Linked DNA regions of Oreochromis niloticus. The protein of the gene in region 1 interacts with the protein of each later gene in a pairwise test. Links are inferred from orthologs where the notes say so. Each region holds a gene or a part of one and is shown in the gene's direction. Other genes may lie near its edges.

The links. The genes of interacting proteins can lie anywhere in the genome.
Region 2: the proteins of nmi (region 1) and brms1 interact in binary tests that used the Homo sapiens proteins (3 or more experiments, as listed by UniProt). The link is inferred for Oreochromis niloticus from reciprocal best matches to the Homo sapiens genes NMI and BRMS1.

Annotation. Positions count from the first base shown.
Region 1 is NC_031987.2:33,068,543-33,072,296, forward strand, and holds the start of nmi (N-myc-interactor), read left to right. Parts: upstream 1-1,493; 5' UTR 1,494-1,685; coding exon 1,686-1,724; intron 1,725-1,820; coding exon 1,821-1,886; intron 1,887-3,110; coding exon 3,111-3,269; intron 3,270-3,366; coding exon 3,367-3,483; intron 3,484-3,754. UniProt on the Homo sapiens protein: Acts as a signaling pathway regulator involved in innate immune system response.
Region 2 is NC_031967.2:10,446,979-10,450,732, forward strand, and holds the start of brms1 (breast cancer metastasis-suppressor 1), read left to right. Parts: upstream 1-1,013; 5' UTR 1,014-1,163; intron 1,164-1,423; exon of another isoform or gene 1,424-1,795; intron 1,796-1,904; 5' UTR 1,905-1,995; intron 1,996-3,729; 5' UTR 3,730-3,741; coding exon 3,742-3,754. UniProt on the Homo sapiens protein: Transcriptional repressor. Down-regulates transcription activation by NF-kappa-B by promoting the deacetylation of RELA at 'Lys-310'. Promotes HDAC1 binding to promoter regions.

The DNA of each region.
Region 1 (3,754 bases):
TGCATTTGACTTGCTACCTTTTCAGTTTTCCTTCCATTGCTTTCACAGTAACTTCCAATATGTGCTGCTTACACATCACCATCCAGGAAACTGACTTCTTTAGACTGTGCCACTCTGAGCAGAAATAGATGAGCTTATTGACGTCTTCTTATTTGTTGTTACTTCTGTAACATCGATTACTTCTGAAAAGAACTTCAACATTGTTCCTCCCTTGTGGCAGCGGAGAAGCAGACGTGAGCTTTACCAGAAGAGACTGTGCTGTAAAGTGCAGCCCGGAGCTGCAGAAGCAGCACACGTGTGAAGCACGAGCAGAATAAAGGAAAGACTCTCTGAACAGTTTCCAGGGTCTCCCCATAACAGCCAGTGATACAAATATAATTTTGTTGTTATTTATCAAAAAATTGATAAATAACTCTAACTATGTCTTATATTTGAGATTCCTGAGAGTAGCCACCCTTTGCTTTGTTGAGTGCTGCAAACCCTTGGCCTTCTCTTCATTATGTAGTCACCTGAGAGTTCTGGGTCATGTTGACCCAGCATTTTGAGTTTCTTGTGTTTTGGTGTTAATTTGTATTATGTTTATGTTTTAGGTTCATTAGTAGTCTTAAGTTTAGTCTGTTCTGAGTTTCTTATTCTTATATTGCCTGCTTTGTAGCCTGAAAATATCTTAAAAGTTTATTTTGTGATCCAGAAAGAGTAATATTTCAAACTCCGCCGCTCTGCGTTCCTCTGCAAATGCCTTGTTTGAGTTTTGGACGAAATGCATACTGGGATATTTGCCTGGGTTTGGTTACAGTAGCTAGCGAGCTGAATGGAGAAACTAAAGCAGCCAATCAGAATTTTTGCATCCAAATCTGTGATTTTTTGGTTTTGTGGCACAAATATAATGCTGTACAGAAAGAGTTGAACGTGCAGGGGCAGAGATGTTGAAAGCGCGAGCAACACATTGAGAGCAGGTCCGCAGAGATCTGAGCAAGAGCAAATGCAAAACCTGAGCGAGAGGAATAAATTTCTCCTCAAAATGCAACACTTGTACTTTTTTTTTTACGTGCTCTCAGAATAGTGAGACAAAAATAACACCATAGTGTTTGACCTCTGTGTCCCTCCCTGTGTGTTTGTGTTTATGTGTGCGTGTGTGTCCTTGTGTCTTGTTTCTCTTTTCTCTTCCCATGTTTCGCTTCTTGTGTTTCATTCCACGTTCCCCCCGTCTATGGATTTTTTAGGTGCTGGTAACATATTGTACTATTTAAAATAAAATACACATACAAAAAAAATGTAAAATCGTTTTTTGTTTTAAAAATATTTTTGTTTGTTTGTTTTTGTAATTAAATGGGTTAAGAATTTCATGCATATTTTTAGCCAGAAAATTGCGTGTTTTTTCCTTTATCTAAAGAATCAGTAGCTTCCAACACACACACGAGATGTTTTTATTAATTTATTTCTTTGACTGTGAACTTTTGTCACACTTGGTCTTCCATACCGGGAAGCTCGTCACACCAGGCTGTAACTTTCACTTTTGATTTGGAGCTGTTTCCGGCACAACAGGGCCACTTTGTTTCTTTTCTAACTTCGACAGAAAATAATAAGTACTCAAAAAAGAGGCAGTGCAGTCACAGCTGGCTGATTTTTGGATCGTAGCTACCAAGTGAAGTTTTCATATCTGTTTCTTTTTTGTCATTCAGACCATGGCTGAGGTCTTCGGTAGTCGCTCGCTAAATGATAAGGTGAGTAATAATGTGTTCGTCTGTTTGTTTGTTTTAGTCCGTCTAAGAAGAAACAAGTGGTCCACAGTTGTTAACGATGCCATTCTTTCTTGGCAGAAGGAAGGAGGCCTGGATAAAGACGGTGAACTGAAGGAGGCCAAGCGAGAGTTGGAGGCATGGAAGGTAGGCCGGAACTAATGCTGAACTACATTTTCCATTTTCAGGCGTGAAGTGTTTTAGTTCAATAGTAAAATAAGTTCACGATCCAATCGTCAAAATACATTTATGGGAAAACGACAACTGCTCAGCCGGAAGTGTCTTCATTCTCCGTTTATAGAAGAAGGTGGTTTGTTTACTCAGTACTGTGAGTGATCTGAGTGATTTAAACAGTAATTACAGTTCTCAGATCTCTTATTTAAGTCGAGATGCAATCCTGCATCGTAAAGGCAAGCCCGGAACTAAGTATGTTCTACAAATAAACGCACTGGACTGAAAAGCCTGAAAGAGTCTATCTAAATGCCCATATTATAATAAATGTCATAATATTCATTGATATAATTTATTAGCATTGAGACATCACGGGATACATTTTATTTACACATTTGAGATTAAACTTTAAATGGTTACTTATATTTGGCTGCACAGAACATGCAGTTTGCAGCTGAGGTTTGCAGTAAACAGGGAGAAACCGTAAAGCAGCTCGCTTCAGCAACTGAAAGTCAGATGGAATGGGCCCAGGCAGCATTCCATAGGGTGTAGGCCTATATTTGCTCAACTAAGAACTATTTTGACGGCTTTTGAACTTTTGATGGCTCACACTTTAGCAAACAAGGTGCAGGTGAAGTGAGCTCGACCAAAAATGAATAAACACTGTTTTAGTCCTTTGTTTGGGGGAAAGACTGGCACATAGTCTGTCAACGGCTGCACCATTATCCTGTGAAACATGCACAATTACCGTGATCAGTACAGATCTTGATTAGTGATTGCTCAGGAGCCTGTTTATATAGAAAATAAATAAAGGTACATAAGGTTAATGTCAACTAAAATGCAGGCATACAACACTAGGGGGACGCAGAACGAATATTGAGTTTCGTCAGTGAGCCAAGTGCACAGCATTGTTTAGGATTTCTCTTTTAAATTTATATCATAAACTATTTATAAATGCTTCAGTTCTTCCACTTTTCCCTCATAAGGACATAAAAACTAAGTAAAGCCTTGTTTCTCTTCCAAATCTGTACTTTTCTCACTTATCAGCAGTGGTATTATATCATTCAGAATGACTTGAGTATATTTGGTCATGTTTAAATGTCTGTCAGTGAGAGAATAATTTTATTTGAGTAGCATGTAGTCTCTTTGTAGACTGCCCACAGTTGTATTCTCTCTGAACACCCCCCATATCTCTTAAAGGCTAAATTCGAAAAAGCGGATGATACGAAAGCCAGGCTGATACTGGAAAAGCTGGGGGAAGATGATGCCAAGTCAGAGGCACAGCAGGAGATGAACGTTTGTGTCAAAAACCAACAGAAGACCCAGGATGAATTTAATCAAAGCATGAAAACAGTTCAGGTACACTTATAGTCTTCTCTGTAACATCTACATTACACTCAGAGGAACTGAGAGTACAAAACTCTCACCAAATATTCCATTTTATTCTTTTCCATAGGATGAAATCCAGAAGCTGACTAGATACAATCAAGATTTGCTGGGGAAACTGAAGAGATGTCAGGCTGAACTGGAGGCTAAGAAGACAGAGTCCTGCAAGTTACAGCAGAAATTCAAGGTAAAAACCAGGAACACTTTCAGATCTGTCCATCTGCTCACATTTACATACAATAATCACAGGCATTAATGTGATGGTAATTATGGTAATGATTTCTTTGAATGCTTGTTTTTCCAGGGTGGAATAATTATACAGAATATCTGTTTAATGAAAACTGGAAGCATAAGTTTGAATTTTTTTTGGGATTTTCCACACATGGTCAAAAGTAAACTTACAGGCTCCAGTATATACATGCACCACCAAACATATTAAAATGTCCTTTAGCAAGTTG
Region 2 (3,754 bases), on another chromosome or scaffold:
TCATGCCATTGATAACTTTTCACCAAAGGTTCAGGGAACAACAAGAGCAATGAACAGAACAGGATAAATGCCAGTATTAGATTTGATGTTTTAAACATTGCAAGGACGTTAGCACGGACGTTTAGTTCACGGTTCCAACATTACCCCACCACCAAAAAAATAGAGAACTTTGGGGGAGAAATTGGGATCGTTCTCCTATGTATGGGGTTTAATTACACCATCACACCCCTGAATTACAGTGTCTTACAAATGCAAACTCAGCCTATTTGACCACATTACCATAATTAAGTATAGGGGTGTGAGAGCAGCTGCACAGTGCTAGCAGTGGAAGAGCAATTGAAAAAGAATAACCATTGATCGTACAGTACTGCGCCCTATACACACTATGCTAAGCTACATTTCTATAAGTATTTTATAATGAAATATTTGCCTTAGATCTCGGGATTTAAATTGTATTATCAGGTTTGCGCCTCGTGAATGAAAATAAGTTCAATTATAAACCGTATTTTTAGAATCATATATGTAAAATTTGGATTATTTTTTATTTTGTTTTATATTTTAAAATAATTAGAAACCAATTTTTCTCCAGTTATAGTGTTAGGTTATTATATTATATTATATTATATTATATTATATTATATTATATTATATTACAGCAAGGTCTTAGGTCAAACAGCTCCAAATCCTTGTTGCAAACAACGGGTATACTGAATTCTATAGTATTCATGAAGAAATATGTTTGTCTTCTTTAAGTGTCCTCTTTAAATAATTACATCTATCTTTATGAAGTTGTACCAAAACACCTTATATCACCGAGACAATGTGTTTCTCACTATTACATGCACTCGCAATGGGTTATAAGCCATCTTTCTCGCCTAAAGACAAACATTTCTTCATTTTGTGAATAATAAGGAAGGCGACCTGGATTATAATTGGCTTACTGGATCTGGTTGAGTATTTCTGATTGGACAAGAGACTTTCGGGTTGATCGCTGCTATTGGACAGTTCAGTGCTCGGTCTCCGCGCTCATTGGCTGAACTTCCGGGCTTCAGAGTCCGGCAAAGTGTGGAACTAAAGAAGACTGGGACGAAGAGGAAGTACTTTTTAAAATGGAAATACAGTAAATCATACTTGAACTTTTCACAGCAGAACAACAGGACGCGGTGAGCGAGCTTTTCTCTTGACTGTCACATTTATGGAAAGAAGGGTTATTTGTTTACAAACAGCATCGCCTGCATCTGTTGACGGATAACGTTATTTGTTAATCCGTACGCTGTAGGAAGGTAGGGTCAGTATGGAAGCCCCTCTGGCGATGCTTCACTGAGTTTGATGGGTGTTTTTCTTCTACGAACCAGCACACACTCTAAGAGAAAACACTTGGCCATTAAATAAGATGAGTATTCGGACAAGGTGATGAACAGGCAGTCATTCCTTCGCTGCAGGGTTTCAATTGTTAGCTAGTGTTGCACTTGACTTGTCCGTGGTCTAGTTCCCGCTAATTTTAAAAGAAAATGCAACAAACGCGTCTCTGTTATTTTGAGGGGAACTGCAATTAATTTCGCGTTCAATACAATAGGTTTCAGGCTAATTTGGGCATTTTATTTTACTCTATGCACCGCCGTAGCTGTTATAACGTACACGGTTTTACTTTGACATCCCGGAAGCTAAAAGATAAAGTTAGACCGATTGAGATGGGACTTCCGGTAAGGTAACAAATAAGACCCCCGTTAATTGGTGAAGCCAAATTGTGGAGCAACTTTAAAGTGATATTTCAGTTATAAACTTTTTTCTAAAGGTGTGTTTTATGAGGGATAAGCAAGACTGCGTTATTTTAGCTTGTTGCCTGCCTGTATGTCTGCGAAGCCAGTCATGTCATTTCCGGTGTTGTGTTGTGTTTTTTGCAGTTCACTTGGCCGAGGTTATGGAGGCCATACAGTAGCTCGGGGTCCCACGTCCTCAGTCTGCTGTTAAACCTTATTCCACTCCGTCTGCCGAGTAAGCAAAATTTCACTGTTATTAACCCACGGGCAGGTCTTAATTTTACCAGGACAATTTTTATGTGTTTTATGCTTTGCGTTTATTTTTTACAGACTGTAAAATATGAAATATGACCCCTGACAATTTATGTTGTTTTCAAATGTATTCGTTGTTGTAAACATCCCAGTCAGTGTTTTATAATTTTGAGTTTAATGTTGTTGGGACATTAATAGTGTGCTTATGCAGCTTCTTACATATAATTTATAAAATAATTGAATTTTCCAAAAATATGTTTTTAAACTATGATTCTTTATAAAGTCTATATTTAGGATGTACCCTTTGGAGTTGTGTGTAGCGCTGATCACTTATTTATGAAGTAAGTCAAGAATAATTAAAACACTGATGTCAATGAAAGTTTAACAGACACTTTGGTAATATATCATTATTATTATTTATTTATATAACTTTTTTTTAGAAAAATTATATATGCACACACATAAGTAAGACTTAGCTTACATGAACCATAATTTTCTGGGTTAAATTGCATTTTTTTTTTTTAAGTTTTCATTTTTGGTGTATGTAGTACTGTGCAAATGTCTTGAGCCACCTCTCATGTCTTTACATTTTTCTTCCAAGGAGACAGACTTCCTTGTAATTCTTTTATTTAAAGTGTTCTTGAGCAATAGTTCTCCAGGCTTTCTGGAGGTGTTTCAACGTTTTGGTTTTTTTTTTTCTCTTGTTTTCAGTCCAGTACTTGTAAACAAACTGGTATTTATAGTGGCTTTCAGCTCAGTTAATTTACTACTGCAAGTCCCATTCATCCAATCACACACACACATCCATACAGTACTTTCATCTAGCTACTTTCCAATTGGTAGACAACCCGCTCTGCCACCTGAGCCACAGCTGCCCCCATCTACCTGAATGTTTGTTTGTTATGCCGCTTAACACTGACCTATGAATTATTCAAGCAAATTCACCTAACTCAATTGATGAACCAGTGGTGTGTCTACACATAACAGGAAGCAGGCAAATTTGAATTTTGTTTTGGTTCAAACTGAGAGGATGTCAGGAGAGAGGTACAACACTGAGTATGCAGCTGTCTATAAAACACAGTGGAAATGTGAACACAAAAATTAGCTTTAGATTTTCATAGCAGCAACATGACAATGATTTCAAGCATGCTGCCAGTTAGAACCATATCACATCATCTCTGATATTCCATTATCCCAATTTTAAAAAATGTAGCTAAAAGACGTCCAACAAAGCACAATGCGCTGCACAATATGCAAGAAAACTGTTCCAGCTAAATGTAGAAATAACAGACTTGTTTCATCACTTGAGGCAAAAACACATCATCGAGTACACCCAGGCTACGAAGGAGGAGATACTAGCAGCTGGTGGTGTGTGACCCAAATGTAAGCAGATGACTCCACCGAGCGCAGCTGGAGCACTCACTGGTCGCACTCCACATGACAGGAAGAGCAAACTGTGGATGGAAATTACAGATGCAGTTACATGTGGCAGAGAAGGGTTTTAAGCAACAGGTTAAAAACTTTGGCCCAACGTACAACATCGCAGGCTGAAAGTATTCTTTCATTTTATTATGTGACAATACTGTGCTATATTTTTGAGGCCATATTGCCCACATCTTCTGCTAATGCAGTACAAACATATCTGGATAGAATTGGCTGTGTTGAAGAGTTTACCGTCTTTAGTTTTATGTGATATTTTTATTAATGCCACATATAGCTTCTGGCTTCCATGCCTGCCCAAC